3 linked regions of the Lepisosteus oculatus genome follow. The protein of the gene in region 2 interacts with the protein of the main gene of each other region in a pairwise test. Links are inferred from orthologs where the notes say so. Each region holds a gene or a part of one and is shown on either strand. Other genes may lie near its edges. The genes, in order: crtc1b, creb1b and pogzb.

What was found.
Region 1: the proteins of creb1b (region 2) and crtc1b interact in binary tests that used the Homo sapiens proteins (3 or more experiments, as listed by UniProt). The link is inferred for Lepisosteus oculatus from reciprocal best matches to the Homo sapiens genes CREB1 and CRTC1.
Region 3: the proteins of creb1b (region 2) and pogzb interact in a two-hybrid assay, tested with the Homo sapiens proteins (2 studies listed by BioGRID and IntAct). The link is inferred for Lepisosteus oculatus from reciprocal best matches to the Homo sapiens genes CREB1 and POGZ.

What each region holds. Positions count from the first base shown.
Region 1 is NC_090724.1:2,621,999-2,629,309, reverse strand, and holds the start of crtc1b (CREB-regulated transcription coactivator 1b), read left to right. Parts: upstream 1-4,277; 5' UTR 4,278-4,353; coding exon 4,354-4,479; intron 4,480-7,311. UniProt on the Homo sapiens protein: Transcriptional coactivator for CREB1 which activates transcription through both consensus and variant cAMP response element (CRE) sites.
Region 2 is NC_090707.1:7,622,165-7,629,988, forward strand, and holds the start of creb1b (cyclic AMP-responsive element-binding protein 1b), read right to left. Parts: upstream 3,093-7,824; 5' UTR 2,962-3,092; intron 1-2,961.
Region 3 is NC_090722.1:3,869,149-3,876,364, forward strand, and holds the start of pogzb (pogo transposable element with ZNF domain), read left to right. Parts: upstream 1-4,151; 5' UTR 4,152-4,371; coding exon of another isoform or gene 4,372-4,472; exon of another isoform or gene 4,473-4,475; intron 4,476-4,731; exon of another isoform or gene 4,732-4,802; intron 4,803-4,826; exon of another isoform or gene 4,827-5,130; intron 5,131-7,216. Other genes in the region: retinol dehydrogenase 13, read right to left, coding at 1,723-1,841, 4,372-4,472. UniProt on the Homo sapiens protein: Plays a role in mitotic cell cycle progression and is involved in kinetochore assembly and mitotic sister chromatid cohesion.

The sequences.
Region 1 (7,311 bases), on a different chromosome or scaffold from region 2:
CATTTATCTACAAAATTAGATTAGTGCAATAAGTTGTGTGGCCACTCTGTGCAATGATAGTGGTTGGCTTGATTTCAGAACAAATATACCTGTCTCTGAAAGGTCTTTCACTCAGGTAGAAACTTTCCCGCAAAGATTCAAACACGAAAACCATGGCGCTTTCAGAACAGCTGAGCGATAAAGTTATATAAAGATACAGTTCAGGAGAAAGGTAACATTTCAAAGAGCCTTGATATCTCGTTGAGCACGGTGAAGGTGGCCGTTAAGGAGTGGAAAGCACACAGACGCAGCCTGAAGGAAGAGGTGAGAGATACAGAGCTCAGTGGCTGAGATGGGAGAAAACGTCCGTGGGTCATCAGTGTTCTGATCACTCCAAAAAAGCGTGTGTATAGGTCTGAAAACAAATGTAAGATTTCAAACGTGGCAAAATGTTTGCCAAAATAAAATGGAAACTTTTTGATCTAATTGCAAAAGAATGTTCTTGACCGGCACAGTCAAAGGCCTGACTTGAACCCTACTGCTTTTACAAAGCAATGTTTCACTAGAGCTTCACGATGTGTGCAATGGGCTGTGAGCCAAGAATTCAGCTATAGCAAACTCTTCTGAGTGCGGCTGCAACATCCATGCAGCACCCTTGGCACTAAATAGCATTTCTCATTTAAAAAAGAATAAAATGCTTTACTGGTGTTCCTTGGTCACTTGCTGTGAGACAGATGGCAACATGGTCACATGTGATGTCAAAAAGGAAAACTTATTTACATTATTCTCCTTTTATCCCAGTACTGGCCATTGCCAGAAAACGTGCATGCTGCAGTACATGAAATTTACTTTGGTGCTTTTTTTTTGCAAAGAAAAATACAGAAATGTAGTTATATTACTTATAAATCTTATGCAATATTCATTTAAATAGTCTCTTTTGACCATTTGTTTGAGAGTTTTTTAAAGTGATTAATATTTTATGTTTAATAGAGGTGATCTTGCATCTGTTAGGTATGAATCTTCCTGTTGTCACTAATTATTGATTAGCTTAAAGATAAATATTCTAGGAAAAAAGACACCTAACTAAGGGAACTAAGGGAGGAAATATATAACTAAAGCACTGAATGGAATCCTTTGTGACTTTCTAGAAAATAGTACATTATAAATCATTCTCTGTAGAATTCAAAATAATCTTCTTTGAAAAATCCTTTCCAGGGGACTTCTTAAATAAACAGAGTGATAGCATTTGCTCATCTAACTATAAACTCATATCAACAGGCAAACGTTTTTGATATATGCAGCACATTATAAAAGTAGGCAAGGCAGCTGATGGTATCACCAAAAATAAAAGATTCTACAGCTGATATTATTAAATAATACATGAGTGCAAAAAGCGTAACATTGGATCACAAAAAAAAGACATGTGGGGTGAAAACTGAAATGAATAAAGAGAGATTTAGTGCATTGGTCTTTTACTTGCAGGGTAATCTGCACATGAGTTAGTTATGACCTTGTTTTCAACTCTTGGGCTCGAGAGATCAGACCTGCTTTTCAATTATGCAAGAGAACAATCTGCGCTTTCCAAATTTTCATGTCATTCCATCTTAAACAAAATGGCATTTATAGGACAAAACGTCAGATTAGGAAACATGCGGTACATAATGTAAATAAAAATGGACAGAAAAAGAAATTAAATCTAGTAATAAATATAAATTACATTCATAGCTTAGGAAGTTGAGAGTTTGCTTAAAAGTGTTCTTGGTGCAAGACAAATAGATTGCAATGAAAACAGAAACCTTTCTCCCCTAGTAGAACCCCAACCCTGTCACATGTGTTTTCAAAATGATCTTCCACAAACTGTGCAGGTGCCTTGATGTCCCAGTCCTGGGTGTACTAGGGATTTCCATGTTCTGCCTTGTTCATGTGTTTCCTTTGTTCCTACAGTATGTGCTTAATGATTTCATGCAGGTGTTATCCCTACATGAAGAGTGGAAGTGAGTCATCTTTGTTCATGATCCTAACCCCACAGGAGGTTAATGTGCAAGATGTCTGTCCATCATTCTAGAGTAGACCACTATTCCATTAAAGTACTGTAGCATCTGAAAAATCTTACACACAGCCAGTAAATGTGTGTGCACAAGCCAAGGGGAGAAAGAGTTTTGGTTTATCATTCCCAGAACTGCTTTATCCAATTCAACTCTTCGAACTCTTTGAACATGTTATTCATGCTGAAGGAGTTACAGTACGTAGCTTTGCAAGGAAGATCCTAAGATGAGTAAAACAATGGAGCCTTATACAGGAAGACATGTCAGCCAATAACAAGATGGTGTCACTCCTTTCTTTAGATTAAAGTCTGCTGTTGCTTTCAGGGGCTGATTCTTTCCTAGAGAATCCGTTTTGCTTTTTTCAGGGAAAGTTGGCTTTTGCACATGTCACCCTGGAAGAGTGGCTTCCACCTCAACCACTCCTGTTCTTCCCTGTGAGAATGAAATCTTCTGTGTGCTGGTAAGGTCATCTGCAGCAGTTGAGTGTATTTATTAGAGCTGAAGAGGACATTAATAGAAGCCAGCATTCATGAGGCTTGCCAGACAGGGAGACGTGATTATTCTGCACTTTTTCCTTTTCAAGCGCTGGACAAAGACAGGACTTCAAGGTTTTTTTGCAGCCAAGAGCCTTCTGCACAGCTTCCCACATCCCTCTCTCAGCCCCCTCTCCCCACCCAGCGGTTTCCTTGGTTACTTTACAGTTGAGTCTATACCAGGGCCAACAGCAGGTTCAACAGCAGAGGTATTGTTGTTTCTGCCTTTATTGCCTGTAGCTCAAACTCCAAGGTTAAATATCTCATTTGTCCTTGTACGCTTCACAGAAGCTCTGGCTCTGAGTTTTTAGGTAACTGCGGGCGACTCAACACAAGATGTTAATAACTTCAGAGCTTCCAGCTAAAATAAGAGTGTCCAGCTTACACCGTTTCCTCCTCCCTGTTCATTTGTCTCTGCAGACCATCCATCCCCTTTCAAAGCAGGTCATCAAGGAGACAATCCCAGAAAGCAACAGGCACAAGGCAGGACACACCCTGGACGCCAGTCCATCACAGGGCACACAGTCACACTCACACCAGGGCCAGCTTCCCCAGAGGCCAATTAACCTACCAGCATGCCTTTGGCTGGGAGGAAACCGCAGCACCACGCAAATGAGGAGAAATTAGAACCCAGGACCTCAGTGCTGCGAGGCAGCAATGCTAACTACTGCCCAGCGTGCTGTCCTCTCTCTACATGCCAATAATGTTGGGGGCCGATGGAGCCTCTATCTGTGTAGATCTGAGAGCCAGATGTCTCTCTCGCACTCCATAACTAGATTAATCCTCAAGTCACAACATCCTTAAGCCCTGTCAAGTTCATCCGAGAGTGGCAACAGATGTTGACAGTGGCCTGAAAGAACGAGATGGCTTTGGTTTCATGTTGCATTTTGTCAGTGGGATGTTTTTTATTCCAGATTAGAACAAGAAATATTTCTGTGAAGACCATTTTTTTATTTTTCTGTAATGGCCAAACTAACATAGATTTGACTAATTGAATTTATTTTTGGATTTAACCTGCCATGTTTGTTGACACAATGTAAATAGTTCTAAAAAGGTGCAATTGTAAACTCAAAGAAAAGACGAAAGAATAAACTATGCCTATTTTACTTTGCCGTTTCATCAGTAAATAAAAAGTTAAAATCATAGTTTTATTTTGATTCGATTAATTTTAATCATCACAAGTGTAGTTGAATTCTGACCATTTCTAGTTCAGGATTATTTATCTGTGATATTTGTATTCGTTTCACATGGTGATCATGTGTGTTAGTTCATTGCAAATACAAGAAAAAGAACACAGTATAAATATGACATAACCAAAATTTATGAATCCTACTTTACAGGATGGGCAAACTCTTTAGTAGATGGTAATGTGTACCAGATGACTCAACAATCCTCTTAATGTAGCCATTAACAACACAGAACCAATGTCAAAGTCAGGCATGTCTTTTGATTCTGAAGGACTGGGAATGAATGAATAAAACAACGTTTCAGGTATTTATATTGCTGGCTTCTCGTTAATGTTCTAAGCTAAGCTCGGAGTAGAAAGGTTGCGACATTTATAAAAAAAACAAGGTTACAAAGGAGGTAATTCGGTCCATCTAGCACATATATTCCATGCATATAAAAATATATAAAAACTAGTTCAGGTTAAATTTACCCATCCCACACCACTGAGCCGAGAGCAGACGGGGGTGGCGATGTGCGGCACAGCGTCGTGTGCGTGATGACGACGCCTACGCGCGGGGACGTGGGCACGCTACGTCCCGTTGAGGGAAAGAGGAGGAGAAGAGCGAAAGATGGCGACCTCAAACAATCCGCGGAAATTCAGCGAGAAAATCGCTTTACATAACCAGAAGCAGGCCGAGGAGACTGCGGCTTTCGAGGAGGTGATGAAGGACCTGAGCATCACCAGAGCGGCGCGGGTAAGCGGGCCCCGGCGTCGTTTTGTTGTGGTCCCTGGGCTGCAGCGTGCAAGGCGAGCCCCGTTACCTTGGCCGTGGAAGTAAACAATAACAAACCCCCCTATCAATGCAATCGCTAATCGATAGGCGAGATTGATGGCGATTCGGCTGATGGACGGCATCCGCGCCGTGCACCGTGCACGACTCTCTCCCCCAAAACCCCGGGGTTTCTGGTTCGGTCTCACCGAGGAAAGTTGCATCAATCGCCAAGACGGCACTGCAAGTGATGACAGTTCGCTGTTCATGTGTAACTTGTGTTGTCGGTGCGTTGTGTTCGGACTCTCCGCGGCGGTCGACTAAACGCGCCGTCCCCCCCTCTCCACCCTGTGGAAGAGCATGCATGTCCCCCCCGGTCCCCAGGCTGCAGCGTGAAACGGTATCGGCTGAGGCTGAGGCTGAGGCTGGAGGTGTGCATGGCGAGGACAGCCCGGACCCCCGGGTCGCTAAGCAGGCGTGGGGAGAGGGAAAGTCTGAAGGTGGCCGGGCAGGCGGTGCACCCCGCCAAGGCAGATTCCCACTTCCCGTTTCTGTGAGTAAATCGCGCCCACAGCTGTCAGCGGGAGCGAGTTGGCAGCGGGGAGGGTGGGTGTTCGCGCTGAACTCAGTAAATCAGATAAAAATGTGTTCACCGAGGTGAGCGGAAAATTGGAAATTAATTTCAGGGCCGAAGCATTTCAAGTTACCGTACTATACTGACGCCGGGGCACGGGCGGTGGGGAGTTTATGTGTAATTTGCACGGGCGTTTTTCATTTCTGCACAGATTGACTGCGAAGTCCGGCCCTGGACTTCGCCCGAGGTGCGGTAGGGCGCTCACGCCGGTACAGACGTGTAGCTTTGGGGAAAGAGAGCATCAGCTGTCCGGCGGAGCCGCCGAACCCCTTCTCGTGTTTTTGCTGCATTAAAGAAATTGCACGGTGTTCAAAAGGGGCGGGCTTTTTTTTTTGGGGGGGGGGGGTTGTTGTTGTTGGGGTAACGGGGGGACGTGTTCGTGGGCAGGTGCCGGGTCGTGTGGGCAGCCTCACAGATGACTGTTTCGGTGCTGTCCGGGGGGAGATGAGGCATCACCTCACATGCAGCCAACTTGTTCCGATGCGTTGCTGTCAGAGCGGTCTTCTAATCTGATTGTCACGGAAGGCATTTGCAACCCCCCGGCAACCTTTCCAGATGTGATTTATTTTGCCTAATACCGCAATTCTCGTGCATACAGCACACACACACACGCACGCACACACACACTCCCTGACCTACTTCAGTTATGGCCTTCGCGTTCATCGATCACCAGAGTTCGGGATTTTTTTTTTCCACCCGTGTTGGGAAACATCTGGCGCTGTTATTCGTACAGATAGGCGAACTGCGTCGCACGTTCAGCGCTGGAAACGCATGCCAGTGTCCCTGTTGCCGCTGTAGCCATCGCCAGCGCCTGTCCGCTCCGGGAATCAGGAGGAAGCGCCTCTCACACAGGCTGTGCGTAAAAGCACCGCGCATCTTTATCAACAGACTTGTTAGGGTGTCTATTTAAAACCCAAAATTCAAATATACTCTACAATAAGTGTCTGCTTTAGGGTAGGGTAATAGTATTTGTCAATGCAGCGCATGATGTTTATGCACAGTCTCCATAATAAACATGTTTCAACGGAAGAACTTGACTAGCAAGATTTGACACTGATCTTGATCTTGCTGCCTGGTATCTGATGTTCATCAAAAGTGCTCTACATCCTCTGACCATACACTTGGGGACTGAGTGTGCTTGATCAAAAGGGCACGTTATCATTATTGTTCAGTTCTTACATGTATTTTTAGTAAAATTTAACTTCGGTAACTGTAAAAGTTCCTGAAATCCGTTTTAAACAGGCTTGATAGAAGCAGACTTTCCCTTGTTTTGTGTACGTCTCAGTTTGTGTTCAGCAGTCACTTGAGACATACCTTACTCATCATACTGTTTGCATGTTTGTTTTCTAACATTATAATATCACAGAATTATGCCAACTGATGCAGACACCAGACGTTTTGTCCAGATACCCAACTGGCAAAAGCTGACATAAAAGGAAAAGATGATTAAAAATAAACTGCTGTTAATTTGCCTCAAGTGGTTCTTGTAAACTGTCGAGTGTTATTGGGGAAAATGAGAAGATCAGCTTAACTTTTAAAAAAAACGTTCTGTCATAATGAATTGTTATAGGAGTACACTGTATATAAGCTTTTAAAAATATCCTGTTTTCACTTGCAGCGATTACACCGTTATATCAATTACTTAGTAGGCTGTGCTCCTGAGCTCTGTCTGTTGTCCCAGTTCTGATGGCGGATTATAAATTAAAATGAAGTAAAGCCTCTTTGTTGATTTCCTAAACGCCATGTTTTATTTAATTCCTTTGTCAGCCCAACGGAAGCTGGTACTTTACTGGGCGATCATAAATAAATTCAGGCACCCCGGTGTCCTCCGTCTATGGGCCATGATTCCTGTCCTTAGCTTTAAGCAGTTTCCCTGGCAGCCGTCCCCATCTTCCTTACCTCAAGAGGCACGAGCCCTGAAAATGACTTGGCCCATTAGATCTGTTTCGGAGATGCTGGAGTCAGTGTATTTATGCACCCGGCTTTTTTAGAGTTGCATCCGTTTGGTAAACGTTGGGTTTTTCCATAAATTTAAAGAACCAAAGCCATCTGAAGACTGTTGATTAATTCTTATACGCAGTTGTCAGGATCCACTGTATGTCGGTGAGCTGCTGGGTTTTTGTTTGTGTCTAGTGTTCGATGCTGTGCAGGTGAGTGCCAAGAGAAATCTTACAAACTGTTCC
Region 2 (7,824 bases):
ACGGACTACAACATGTGGAACTACGGATTCCTGAGGAAAATGCGTCAGAGGGGGGGTCTTATTTTTCGCAGGCAAGCCTGAGCTGGAGCCGCCTCTCTCCAGCAGAGGAGCCAGGTGCCAAAGGTGCAGCTGTCACCCCTGCAGCGTGACTGTCACCTGTACCCCACCTCCAACCAGAACTGCACACAGGGAACTCAACACGAACTCCAGCCCTGCACTGTGACTGTCACCTGTACCCCATCTCCCACCAGAACTGCACACAGGGGACTCAACACGAACTCCAGCCCTGCACTGTGACTGTCACCTGTACCCCATCTCCCACCAGAACTGCACACAGGGGACTCAACACGAACTCCAGCCCTGCACTGTGACTGTCACCTGTACCCCATCTCCCACCAGAACTGCACACAGGGGACTCAACACGAACTCCAGCCCTGCACTGTGACTGTCACCTGTACCCCATCTCCCACCAGAACTGCACACAGGGGACTCAACACGAACTCCAGCCCTGCACTGTGACTGTCACCTGTACCCCACCTGCACACAACGTGTCGAACCCAATGAACTGGAGCCCCGTGGAAATAACCAGCCCCACTCGCATTTATAAACATGGCAAAGCAAAACATCAACAGGGAACGACAACAACAAAACTGGTCATTTCCCACTTGGGGAAGAAATCAAACCCGCTCCCAGCAGACAGATCTTTGTGGCTCCCTCTTGGCACACATGCACCTCTGTAATGCAGTACCTCTGCAGCCTGCTGCTTCCAGACCAAACCCCTCCTCCACATTCCTCCACCTCCCACAACATGCTGCTGAAGCGCTCCACATACTCCACCTATTCCTCATTCGCTCAGAAACAGGCTTAAAAGAAGTGACTCCTCTCTGTTAATTTATGTGTAGTTTTAACAGCTTCATTTAGAGCGTAAACTTACAGTTCTGTATATATATTTATTCCACACCGCTGCAGTGTGGGAGATGCTCATGTGCTTCAGTCCGATTCTTCAAAGTAACCACATCTGCTGCTTCACGGCTTCCCAGAGCAGACCAGGCAAAACCGCCAAGGAGCGGAGCTGCTTTTATTCACAAGCGCATTCATACCTCTTTCTGGAAACTAGCTGCAGCCTGTTGCACGCCCCCGCTACCCTCTGTGTAAAGACGTGTCTCCCGTTCACAGTTTTAAATGCCCTTGAGCCCTCTGGGAGGATGAAGGGAAACATATCGTGATGTGTTTTCTGTGTATAGAAAATTAAACTAAGCACATTTTTTTCCCCCACTGTATCCTCCTCTACCAAAGAGAAATATAAAAAACTGGACCTTCTAGCTTCAAAACAACTGGCCCTTTCATTTTTGTATGTTTTTTTTTGCCGATTTGAACAAATTTGATCCAAGTGTTTGGAAACAATTCCACGCGGAATTCCCCGCGAGGCTTCCGTGATAAAAATGTGATTGGCGTTTGCCCTCCCCAACACAAACACCCAAAACAAAGGAGCGCTCTGCGCCAGAACACTGCTCGGGAAATATTTCCTTGTTTCCCCCGGGGCAGGATCTCTGAACTCTGCGATCTGAGAAACCAGTTCACACCTGCCAGTGGGCTCTTCCACCCTGCAGTGTAGTTCATCATACAAGTGAAGCTCCTCTCCTGCTGCATGAAACCCGGATTTCGGAGCGCCGGTCTTCTTGGTGAGGGGGCCGGATTCTGCCAGAGACCCCGCCGCCGAGCCGGCTGCCCGGCGCCCAGGCCTGTTGACTGGGGGGGGGTCGCTGGGCCAGAAACGCCCCGGCGACTTTAAACGCACCGATCCTGCGGCCTGACCGCCCAGGTAGGGGGGCGTGAAGACGAGCCGGCAGGCTGAACGGGTCACACCCACTCCTCCCCACCGCGATTTAGGAAAATAAAATAAAACAGACCGAGGAAAGGCACTTGAGCTGGAACCGGGGGGCGCAGGCCGGGCCCGGATAGGCGCTAGGGACCCCCACACCACACAGGGGGACTTGATCGGCCCTCCTTCGGCCAGCTCGCTATTTTTATATATATATAGATCACAACCCGTCAGCTGTCTGCATTGATCTGGGCCCCGTTTTAACACACATGTACGACCCCCCCCCCAGCTTCCACGACGAGGGGGGAGGTGGGCTGCAGACACAAAGTTTTTCTTGTGCTCCCCATCTTCTTCGAAAACGCCGAGAAATCTTCGTTGCCACGGAGGCCACCCGCGATCGCATCCCTCGGGTGGGGGAGAAATAAAAGCCCCACACCGACACCGACACCAACACCAACACACACACACGCAGCCCGGCGACGTTGACACGGGTTCAGCACTTGTTGTTTTGTTTTTTTTTAATGTGTGTGTGCGTGCATATTTCTGTATTTCAAATTCAGCTGCACAGCCATAGTGGGGATCTTCCGAAACGGGGAGGAAAAAAAAACTGACACAAACGCAGCCTCTTCTACAGCAGGGGAAGATGAGGATTTTGTTTGGGGTTTTTTTTTTTTTAAAAAAGGGGGCAGCTACGTTTCTAATGCCAAAATAAACACCACCTCGGACCGTTATCTCCGCATCCTTATTTATTTCTGGTGCATCCCACTACCGTTTATTATTATTATGATTATGATGATGATTATTATTATTTTGTGCGCACAAACGCGCCACAAGCACACAGATGCGGAGGGCGCCTGCACGGTTGTCGCAACGGCTCCGGCGGGCAGGGCTGTCTCGGCGGGGGTGAAATAAGTTGTGCAAACACCCGCGCCGCTGTCGTCCTGGCCCGCTCCCTCCGTGTGGTCAGTCCGCAGACTCCCCTCCCTTCCCGCCCGCCTTGCCTCAGCTAGCTCGCCTGCGAGCCCCGCCAGCCGCCATGATTCTCTTTGTTTCCCCGGGGCCGAGGCCAGCGACACTCGCACCCGCTCCGGGACGCGTCCTGTCTCCCTCCACCCCCCAGGACACTTCTCCTCTCTTACCGGTACAGACTCCCTCCGTCACTCCCGGGCCCCCGGAGCTCCACTTTTATTCAGGCCGACACGTAAGAGACCGCGTCAGGCTACACCTCCGCCGCGTCACCGGGAAACAACAACACGGAGAACGAGGGAGACGAAAATTAGCTCAGCAAGCACCATCGGGTAGGGCCGAGCCGGCGCCGAAATATGCCGAAGCCGTGACGGAGTTTACCGAACGGCGTCCCGAGCCCTTTCGGAAATGCACGGGCAGAAGGGAACGGTGTGAGCTGCGCATGTGCGAGGGTAAGCTTTATTTAGTTGGGAAGGGTGTTGCGCTTTCAGTGGTGCTGGTGAACGCTGTTTCGTTGTGTTTAGTGCGTGTGTTACATCTAACGTCGAAAGCTGGTCTTATATTACGTGAGCGAATAAATGCACGCTGTCGAGTAGGATTTGTTATGTATGTGTTAAGGAAGTTTAGGGATGAAGGTGAGGGTGCTGTTAGTCGCGTCTCGGCGCTCTCGACTCTTATTAAATCAGGTTGGATTCTGGACCAGCCAGCGAATACCGTTATTACAGAGTAACATACATATATATATTCCTGACACATAATTCTCGTCAAGGTTTCGAGGTTACAGTTTATCACCCAGGCTTCTGTATGTGTGAAAGGCAGCTGAACACGGGATCTTAGGGCCATGTTGACGGACAGTAAATTTAGTGTCGCAACTGCCAAGCTCTTGGTTTCTATCTCGGCACCACGGCACAATAACATGACGATGCAACTGTATACAACTTGTCCAAAAGCGGGGTTAGGGTCACACGACAGCGTGTGTTTCTTCACTGCCTCAGCGAGATGAAAGCGCAGCGTGTCTGCCTGCAGACCGTGCCGGGCAGTTCGGGATTCAATTCTACTTGATTTGTCATTATACTTCCACGGGTGCGTAGTACAGTGAAAAGTGTTTCTCAGTCTCTCCCGGGTGGGGTATATAAATAGAACAGCAGACAAGACAATAGACAGTAACACGATCACAATAACAGTGTCATCATCCCGAGAGACAGCGGGCTTCAGGGTTTGAAGGAGACTCGCGTCTTGTTTTCTTCAAAACCTGAACCAAGGTAGAAGTTAGACCTCATGGCCCCCGCCGAGGAGGGGCGTGTGCCCGGAGTTGCATGGCACGCGAAGCCAGGCCCCCAGTTTTCATTTCAGCGCGCGGTGTCTATATCGATATGTCAGGGATTCACGTTCTGACAGACAGTGCGCTGTACTGCACGGGAGCCGCCAGCAGCATTGAGAACTGTGCCGCTCGTGAATACGGGGATATGAACCCGTGGAACCTCCGAGGTTATTTGATTTGATGTTGAGATGGGAATGCTGCGGAGACGGGTCTCTCCTGAAGACACGGGGAGCCCAGTGTTGTGAAGGCAAGAGTGCCACCTAGTGGCCTTCAGCGCCATCAGTACCCGGCCTGTCCGCTCCCTTAACTGGTGTTCATTACCAATTGTTGCCATGGGTGTGTTGAAAGATTTGAAAACCAGAATGAGGTGATTTGATTATCTTTAATTGGGAATAGGGAGGTTAAAAAGTAAACATGGTTCAAAATTATTAACTATCTTGACAGTGTCAGTGATGTTAATAACAGTAATTCTGTGTATTTGCAGTATATAGTACTTTTCATTCCAAGTGATCTCAAGAGTGCTTTACATCTAGTAGTGTACCCATTTCACCCACCACTGAAGTGTATCCCCACCTGGGAGACACAGCAGCCAGTCTGCAACAGTATCCCCACCTGGGAGACACAGCAGCCAGTCTGCACCAGTATTCCCACCTGGGAGACACACAGCAGCCAGTCTGCACCAGTATTCCCACCTGGGAGACACACAGCAGCCAGTCTGTACCAGTATTCCCACCTGGGAGACACACAGCAGCCAGTCTGTACCAGTATTCCCACCTGGGAGACACAGCAGCCAGTCTGCACCAGTATCCCCACCTGGGAGACACACAGCAGCCAGTCTGCACCAGTAGCCCCACCTGGGAGACACACAGCAGCCAGTCTGCACCAGTAGCCCCACCTGGGAGACACAGCAGCCAGTCTGCACCAGTATTCCCACCTGGGAGACACACAGCAGCCAGTCTGTACCAGTATCCCCACCTGGGAGACACACAACGCTGGAGTTACTGTATCAGCAGGTCAGAGGGAGAGGGAAACTGCTTCACCAGGTGAATTAACCTTTGGATGACCCGACTGTACAAGCCCAGTGTGGAATTTAACCCTATTAACACTGGGGTTAATAACCTTGTTCTTGCTAACAGCCCAGGGGATCTCTAATGACCCAAGTCATGAGGACCTCAGATTAAGGTTCCATCTGACAGACAGCACCTCCTACAGTGCAGTGTTTCCAGACACCATACTAGGATATTTATACAGGGACATTGTGATCTGGGGGAAAGGGTGAAATACTGGTGCAGCGGTTAGGTTTGCACTCCTGCCCCTGGCGTGAGTATGTGTGCCCTGCACTGGATTGGTGTCCTGTCCGGGGTGTATCCAGACTGGAGCCCGTTGCTTGCTGGGATAGGCTCTGGCTCCCCCTTATCCCTGTATTGAATAAAGCCGTTAAAAATGAATGTATGGAAAGATAATCCAGAGGGAAGAACACCACCTAGAGTCCCACCATTTATAACAGTATCCCCAGTATCCCCAGAGGTTTCCCATCCCGGTTCTGACCGGGCTCAGCTTCGCTTGGCTTCTGAGTTCAGGCAAGATCGGGTTACCGGGTTATGAAACTGCTCCCTAACGTACAGCGGTCATCTTCTAACTCAAAGATGACACGAGGGCGTTAGGACCATGTAGGATACTGTGTACAATTTCAGTCACGGCAGTATAAAACAATATTGCAGCCCTGGAGTCCATCCAGAAAAGAGCAACCTGATACATTCCAGGGATTAAACCAAGGTCCTGCATAAACAGGCTGAGGGAATTTATCCCTTGTTGTTCAAAATCCCCAAAGTCAGTGACAAAGTCAACCCAGCCAATTTCTTTGGCATGAAAAGCACAACACAAACCAGGGGGCCATAGTGGAAACTACGGGGTGGTGCATTTAAAACTGAGAACAGGAGGCACTTCTTTACCCAAAGAGTGGTGGGAGTGTGGAACAAGCCGCCCATCCATGTTCAATGCCGATGCCCCGGCTTCTTTCCAGGGGAGAGTGAGATCCTTCGATCAATTAGCCGCTAACCGCCAAACATTCTGGATGGGCCAGATGACCTCTACTTGTTTGTAACCTTTTCTTACATTCTTATGACGGTCTGGTCCAGTGGAAGAGCGCCTCCTACTGGCCCACCAGCATCTTGCAGCAATTATATGGAGCAATAAAGGAGTTAAGAGAGAAGGCAGTAATCTGGAAAGTCAGAGATGTCAGAGTGTTCATATCTGTTTGGAAACACAAAAGCACAATTTATTTATTTTTTATTTATTTTGTTTTATAACTATTCTGATGTCTGTTTTGCTTGTCTTGGGCTGGACTGCTGTAACACATCAATTTCCCTATGGGATTAATAAAGTATTATCTATCTTATCTATCTCTGCATTTTGTCAGCAGCATGTTGGATCTGGCCTGGTGTGTGGTCCTGTGTATCACTGCAGTGTAGCCTTTATCACAGTCTTCATCGGGTCAATTAGGACAGATCGCACTGGAGGGAGCAGCCAGTCATCAGCAATCACTAACAGCACTCTTGTACTGACTGGTTAGGTCACTTATGGCCAACCAGGAAACAGGTATTTCATCAGCAGCTTGTTTCTCATCCCTGGACTTTAACAACGGTAGTGTCACCTGCCATATCACCCTGCAACTCGCACCTGGCAGCCCACTGAAGCTCAGCAGTGTGAGCCTGGTCAGTACCTGGATGGGAGACTCCTGGATGGGAGGTTTGAGTTGCTGATTGAAGAGATGTTAGTGGGACCAGCAGGGGGCGCTCATGCTGCTGTCTGTGTGGGTCCTAATGCTCCAGTATAGTGATGGGGACACTATACTGTAAAAAAGGTGCTGTTTTTCAGATGAGATGTAAAACCGAGGTCCTGACTCTCTGTGGTCATTAAAAACCCCGGGGTGTTTCTCGAAAAGAGTAGAGGTGTTCGCCCTGGCGTCCTGGCCACATTCCCCCCTGGCCTTTACCAATCATGGCCTCCTAATAATCCCTATCTCTGGACTGACTTCATCACTCTGTTCTCCTCCCCACTGAGAGCTGGTGTATGGGGAGAGTACTGGTGAACTATGGCTGCTGTCGCATCATCCAAGTGGGGAGTCACACTGGTGGTGGTGGAGGGGATCCCCATTACCTGTAAAACGCTTTGAGTTGAGTGCCCAGGACAGTGCTATATAAGTGTAAGGAATTATTATTATTATTGACAACAACAAAACCGGCCGGACTGGTGTATGTTATTGGCCCCCTTCCCGCTCATTCTGGATTAAAAAAGAAACCAAAAAAACGTTTGGCCAGCAGATGGCAGCATGAACTCACGTTCTGTCTGCTTGGACTGCAAGGGCCGTTCCTGTCTGAACCGGGTGAGAGGTTCCCCAGAGCACAAACACGTGGCTGCTGGCCTGCACTGGCTGGATAAAGGACCTGTGTGACTGCAGCCCTCTCATGTGTGGAAGCCCTGAAGCTTCATTCTCGCCTGAGACTTCATTTTTGTTTTGTTTTGTTTTTTATTTTTATTTTTTTTCGTCTGCGACTTCATGACACTGCTGTTTTCAACACGTACTGTAAGCTGTGTGAAACAAGCCTCAGTCTAGTCCAGTCCTCTAGGCAACATTGTCGTGTTTTAAATAGAACCAGTGAAGTCCTGGCAGACAAACGGGCACAGTTTGCCCACTGAGGCAACGATGAGATGA
Region 3 (7,216 bases), on a different chromosome or scaffold from region 2:
TATTAACTGTTCATAAGAGTGTGAGTATTAACCAAGTGACCTGGCTGCAATCTCTGTGTCTTTGGGATTTTGTTCCACATCTACTGCTAATTGGCCGGGATTATGAAATCCTTAATCACACGGGCTGTTTGGTTTTCATACTGTACTAAGGTCTCAGCTTTGGAAGTAATCAGCACTGTTAATGTATTTTTCTTCCAGTTGGAGCCATTTACACAGGCATTTTACTGAAGCAATCTGAATGATGTCCCTCTCTCAAAGAGACAGATCTGCCAAGGACTGGTCCCAAACCTATCAGTTTGCAATCCAGACTCTCTGCCACTCCTCCTGCTTGCTCAACAACCAGCTCCTTTATGTGTATTTTTACCAGGGTGCTTTGCGAACACAATCTCTATTTCATCTGGGTGTAAAATAGTCGCTGTCACATCCAATAAGATTTCTGAACACCTCATTGTCCGTCAGTGAGCGACACATCCACGCAGACGGCAATGACACTGTGACAGGCACTCGGATTATAGAATTTCACACTGTCTAGCACCACTGATTACACTTCCCCTTGAAACCACTGTCACAGCCGAGAGGAATTCTGAATCCCAGCTCCTGGCCAAGGGGTGGAAGATGACGTCTCAATCTCTCTTACTGTCCAGAGGCCGGAGCTGTTTTTTCTCCGAACAGCCAAGCGTTCAATTCTGGCTCGAACACGTGTAATTAAGAAGGAACCCTGCTGGAATAAAAGGCAGGAATTCCCAGACCCTGCTTGAGAAGCACTGGTCCGTTAGGAATTATTATTTTGGAATTCCGTCTAGGAGAGACTGATGCCTCAGAAACCTGGTATAGAAACACTCGGGTGAGCCAGGTCCTTAGACAATGACTCAGGGCTTCTCCTTTATATAAAACACCCTTTTAAAATAGTTCACGGACATATTTGTGTGTATCTCCCAACGCATTCACACATACTCCCAAGTATAATGGGAATCCACCTATATCAGGTGTTCCAGGACCGGTTCTGGGGTCCAGGGGACCCCCAAACCTACTGGTTTCTGTTCCCCTTAAGTTAAATAATTTAGCTTGAGTAATGTAAATAATTTAACCCTTAGTAGACCCCCAAAACAGAATTATTTTGTACCCTTAAATTGCATTTTAACTGTTTTCAATTCCTATATATCTAGGCTGTGTTCCAAGTATCTTGAAATATCCTTTCAGTACCACAGAGTGCGGCAAAGATTCTCAACAGGCAACCTGTTGGCTTAGTTCAGGATTTATTGAACTCTATTAGGTGACCTTTGCACTGTGCCCTGCAGATGCCTTTTCTTCTGGAGGTGAAACTTGAAGATGACGACTAAATATGATGATGACGACTGGAAACGCTACAGGAGCACGGACACGGCACGCACAAGCGAGTCTTTAAAACGGGGCCGGCCTACAAACTTTCGGATGACCCATTTTAGAATAGAAGTTACTACCAGAGTATGGTGTGCTACTGTACATCACTAAGATTTTTTTTTCAAATTAAAAGGCCTGTGCCCTAAAGCCGACCTTTTCAGCTGCCTCTAGCGCGTAAAACCAGTATTCCTTCATGATTTATTGATCAAAGAACGAATGAAAATCACGTTGATTTCGTATCCCCCCCAGAACCAAATCCTTGTGATATTTACGCCCCGGGACGCGAGGTTCGAGACGAGCCATCCTGCGTGTAAACGGCAGCCGGTCAGACGGGGGACTTACTGATCGCAGTCACGACGGTCACCGCCCCGCACCTGGTCAGTAGACTGAACCACTGCCCCTGGTCCCACATGTCTCCCAAGAAGAAGGGGGCGTCGCTCCCTCGGGGTACCTGGCACCAGCTGGGGTGAGGGGGGATAAGGAGAAAGAGGGGGTCTGTGGAAGGAAATTGCCCCCTGGGTTTCCGTCGGCCTTGAGAACGCGACCCGTTTCTGAGCTCTCCGAGCAGCGCGGCTATGAATAGTCCTAAGCGAGCTAAATCAGACCTGATTAGAGGCTTCCATAGTAGATTAATGACTAATTCGAGCGCAGGAACACTCGTTGCGTTATTTGCCCCGGCTCTCTGAATCCTCTGTTAAGACCGATTACTGCCAACAGTGCAGCTCTGCTCTGCGCGGTGACTGGGGCAGCCAGAGCCACTTCTTAGGGGGGTTTTGTCTCGAATGTGGGTGTTTGCGCAGAGAACAGCCACAAAAAATAAATACCTAAGCAGGCCCCAAATAATCCATTTCAAAAAATAGAACGAGAGTTCTTATTTTAAAGGGTTTAAAACACGGCCAGGTATGCCAAAATTAACACGTTATGACAGAGGTAATTTATTCTCTAGTTCAGCGACATATCTTTTTCACCGTTAAACCCAGATCTTGGACGCACGTGGACATCCTCCAGACATTCTGGAATAATCTGTGTTGAACCCAGAAAGGAAAATTGGAAGAATTAATTTGAGCGCTGCAAACCTCGCATTTTTCACGATCGCAGGAGTTGTATCGGGGCGAACTACGGCGTTGTATGTAGGTCAGATAAGAATGAGAACCGCCGAGCCCGTCTGAGCGATGTCCCGCTGTTCGCGGCTCAGAAATGATGCTTAGACCGCCATCCTCCCATTAACACAGTGCCTGACCGCACACTCACATGGGCGGTTTGTGCTAACGTGCTATAAAAGCATGGGTTTACATTCCATACATGATTTTTTTAAAACAAAATCGCGCCTGTTTTAAAACAATTCAATTCCCACAGCTGCTGAGCTTTCACAACTCAATAAAAAAACAAAAAGATCGAATCTAAAATGAAAACAAAATAACTACCACAATGTTTTTTTTTTCCTGAAGGCCTTCGTTGGGATGCCCGCTGACAAGAATATGCCAAATACTCTCGTGTTGGTTTGGGGCAACTGGGGTGGTCCTGCGCCAGCGAGCCGTTGGATAACGCATTTTGGTGTGTAGACTTATTCTCCTTTCAGTTTTTACGTAGCAGTTTTATTGATTTTCAAAATCACTGTTTAAATATTTCCCCGTGAAGGTGTGCAGCATAATGTTTATTTTGTCACCCCGACGACGCAGTAAAATACGTCCTATAAATGATGAAATAACGTACACTCGACCCATACGATCACAGCTGTTGCAAAGGTACATCTGTTTGTACTCTCCTGTCTCTAAAAATGTTAACATTTCGGAGGAACCACTGGCGTATTTGATTAACAAAACTGTCGTTACAGTTTAGAAAGTATTGCTGCAATAGAAAGGACACCGTTTGACGCAGTTCGCGCATTTTGCTTGTGGATGAAGCCGTTCCTGTCGGCCAAACCATTGTTCTGTGCAAAATCGTTGCTCCTCCGTCGTTTACGTTGGCAATATAACTCAATATTTCTCTTCTTAGAAACAGGATTTTGTGAGACTTTATTGTTATATAGACTTTCTTGTTTCATAAGGCCTACCACTTATTGTTGAGCGATTTTAGTAAAGGGAAATAATCGTCGTTTCTTAAATGGAAACCTTTCTGAAGTATCACCTTGGCCAAGTTTGGCCGCCATCTTGTTTTCTGTGGCTACATTTACTGTATTTTACACCCAATTAAAAATGATATGTGATACTGTGGATTTTATATTATTCGTGTATGGTTATTTAATAAATATTCATCGCCTGGATAGGGCGGAGTGTGATGTGTGTGGCCAAGGGGGAAATTTTATTTGGTGGATCAAGACCTCCACTGTGTTCCCCGTTGAGTATTCAAGATGTGATATCTTGATAGATGTAATATCTGATTGCGTTTCTTTTTCTTGACTCATGTTTTGCCGCATACTAAAATGGTGTATCATGTATCATTTCTTTCAAAATACCTCACAAAATGGACGCACTTAGTGGAAAGCATAGGGCCCCCCCAAAGCAAAATTGGTGCTTTTATTGAGACTTTTAAAAGTGTAGGTTCTCAAAATTTATATCAGTCCAATTGAGGGAAGTGTTTACACCTTACTATGTGATGTATTATTTTATTCCTCCCCCAAAATGGACACAAAAAGACCCGCGCGAGCCACAATAAAAGGAACTACTTCGAGAGATTCTGCTCGGGGCGGATTTTATTCGGCAGGGCCTCGGTGACGTCACCCCGCCCCCGCCCCTTTCGCGGCGCTCTCCTCCAATAAGAGCCGCGGGCTGGCAGGGAGGAAGTGACGTTGGCCTCACCAGCGCCGAGCGACAAAAAAAAAGAGAGGAGTGAGGAAAAAAAAAAATCGCCTGCCTGCCTGCCCCCAGATCGGGCTTATTTGTTTTCACCGGGTGGGCGAATCCCCGAAGCTTCCTCAGAATTTTAATTTTTTTTTCCTTCATTTTTTTTTTAAATTTTCCGTCGCCCACCGGGGAAGGAGGACAGACGTACGCGAGGTGAGTTTGTTGTGATTGTGTGGCGGGTATTGTTCCCTCTGGTGGCGTCGGAGCGCGCGGCTCATTGTCCTGCCGGGGGGACCCGTCTCCCCCCATCCCGACCGGCGAGCGCCCCAGCCCCGGAGCCCACGGGCACGCTGGCGTGTGCGTGTCTGGGAGAGGGGGGGGGGGACCCGGGGTTCCTTTAAAGGCGGCTGCCCCCGGTTTCGCGGGGGAGACGGCAGGCTGGCGTGTGTGCGCGGCGACGCGTCGGCCATGTTGGACGGGCTGTCCGGGCTGAGGAGGGAGCTGCTGGGTCTCTCCGCCCCCGCTGGCCGCCTGCGTGCTGGGTGCTACTTTAATTGCTCGCTGTGCAGGAGAAGCCTGGAAATGCGGCGCGATATTGGACTACAATGTGTAGCGTATAATGTGACTCGCACCAGCGCTGTGAGTGCAGGACAGTTTTTGCCTTGCGGGTTTATCACGTCATTGTTTCGTTTATTGTTTTTAAAAAGCCCTCAGTGCAAGTGTGCAGGGTGAAGATGGACGCTGCGTTCTGATAGGCTGCTGCGCGTATGACGTAAACGGCCCTTCATGTCGTGAGGTCAACTTTCTGCGAGGTCTCGACGTCACTCTGACGTCACCGGTGACAGAGTGAAACGGGCGGGCGTTTTTATAACGCACGGTGTTCGGTACAGGTTTTTTTTATTTGGCTCACAATTTCAGAACCAAACTCGCTCCGAGCCCGAGGATGGGAGGAGAACTGGAGTGTTATGTATGTGATTTTTCATTTTGCCGGATTGTGCACCCCAGGGTGGGAAATATTTGCTTTTACATCACTTCGGTTGTAGAAGTCCGAAGACAATTAATTCATTTGGTTGGTATATTATAAATAAAACAGGCCAGCAGCCATATCACCCTGCAACTCACAACTGGTAACCCACTGAAGCTAAGCGGGTGTGAGCCTGGTCAGTACCTAGATGGGAGACCTCCTGGGAAAAACTAAGGCTGCTGCTGGAAGAGTTTTTAGTGGGGCCAGCAGGGGGCGCTCACCCTGCAGTCTGTGTGGGTCCTAATGCCCCAGTATAGTGACGGGGACACTATACTGTAAACAGGCGCCATCCTTCGGATGAGACGTAAAACCGAGGTCCTGACTCTCTGTGGTCATTAAAAATGCCAGGGAGTTTCTCGAAAAGAGTAGGGGTGTAACTCTGGCATCCTGGCCAAATTTCCCATTGGCCCTCACCAATCATGGCCTCCTAATAATCCCCATCTATGAATTGGCTACATTACTCTGCTCTCCTCCCCACTGATAGCTGATGTGTGGTGAGCGTTCTGGCGCACTATGGCTGCCGTCGCCGGCAGCGAGGTCCAGCCCATAGAGAAGGGCGCCGTGTCCCCCCCTCCTCCTGGGCTGGACTGGTAGGCCGGAGGGATACGGTCTTCCGCACGTTTCCAAGGATCGACCTCTCACAGCTCAGGGACGGCGTGACTGTTCGCCAGGACAGTTTACAGGGTGGTGGTGGTAAATCCTGACCCAAGATCAATGCCTCAGCCGAGCTGGAGACCACAGGAGTCGGCTGTGTACTGGGGGACGCTGCACTCCTGTCTTGTCCACAACATACCCCCAAGATACCCCCCCGCACCTCTGCTCCTGGAACTTGGACAGCAGCTCCAGCATCTTACTGACGGTCTTCTTCTTGGCGGCGGGTTTCTGCGCGGGGCTCAGCCCCGAGGGGGGGTCGGCGGGCTTGGGGGGCAGGCTTTCCGCCTCCAGGGGCTGGGCCGGGGGCGGCAGCGCGGGGGCGTTCTTGGGCGCACCGGCCACCTTGGTCTGCACGGCGTACGCCCGGATGGTCACCTGGCGGAGGAGCACGGACAGGCTGGGCTGAGGAATATCTCAACTCAACGACAGCAGCAGCAGCAACAACAGGGGTGAATGTGGCTGATCAACAACACTCATCATAAGCTTTACCAATTCTGATTTCGTCTTACGGGAAAACTGAACACCATTTAGCAGTGGCGACTTCATGGGAGTGTGGAACAAGCTATACAGCTGATAGCTGATGTGTGGTGAGCGTTCTGGCGCACTATGGCTGCCGTCACATCATCCAGGTGGGGCTGCACATTGGTGGTGGTGGAGGGGAGTCCCCATTACCTGTAAAGCGCTTTGAGTGGAGTGTCCATATAAGTGTAAGTTATTATTATTATTATTATTATTATTATTATTATTATTACTGTGGTGCGAGTTACATTTTGTACGTTTGTGTGTTCTCTCAAGCCGGTCTTTTCGAGCAGGTTTCTAGAACTCTGCTTGAATGGTATCTCCCGGCGTAGAACCCCCCCCCCCCCCATAGAAGAAGTGGAATAATCCGAGTCCTTCTACAAAGAGTCACTCTGCAAGGATCTCTTTGCCAAACAGGTTTTCACAGTGATGAGTCAATGGAGTGGGTGTGATTTTAAACGGTTATGTGCGCGGCTCGTATTGTTAAATGCATTTTGCTTCTGCAGTGCAGCCTTGAAGATAAGGGAGGAGACTGCGGTTGAGATAATTGATGACAATTGTCCCCATCATACATCAGACCCCTTTAGCTCCCCCTTCAGTTTTTTATGTATTCAATTAAAAAAACAAACCTCGTAGCTCGACAGATGGGAGGTTGAAACTGCCAGGCACCGCGCTTCATCTTTTACAGAGAGCGCGTGCGGAATTGCAAAGGCACTGCGCCTCGTGATCGCTTATTGGAAGCCCACTGAGATAATGGCGGCTGCTTCTATGTCGGATCCCTACGAGATCCGCGTACGGGTGGGGATTCTCTCCAGGTGGGCCGTTCTGCACCGGCAGCCCCACCGTGCAGAAGATC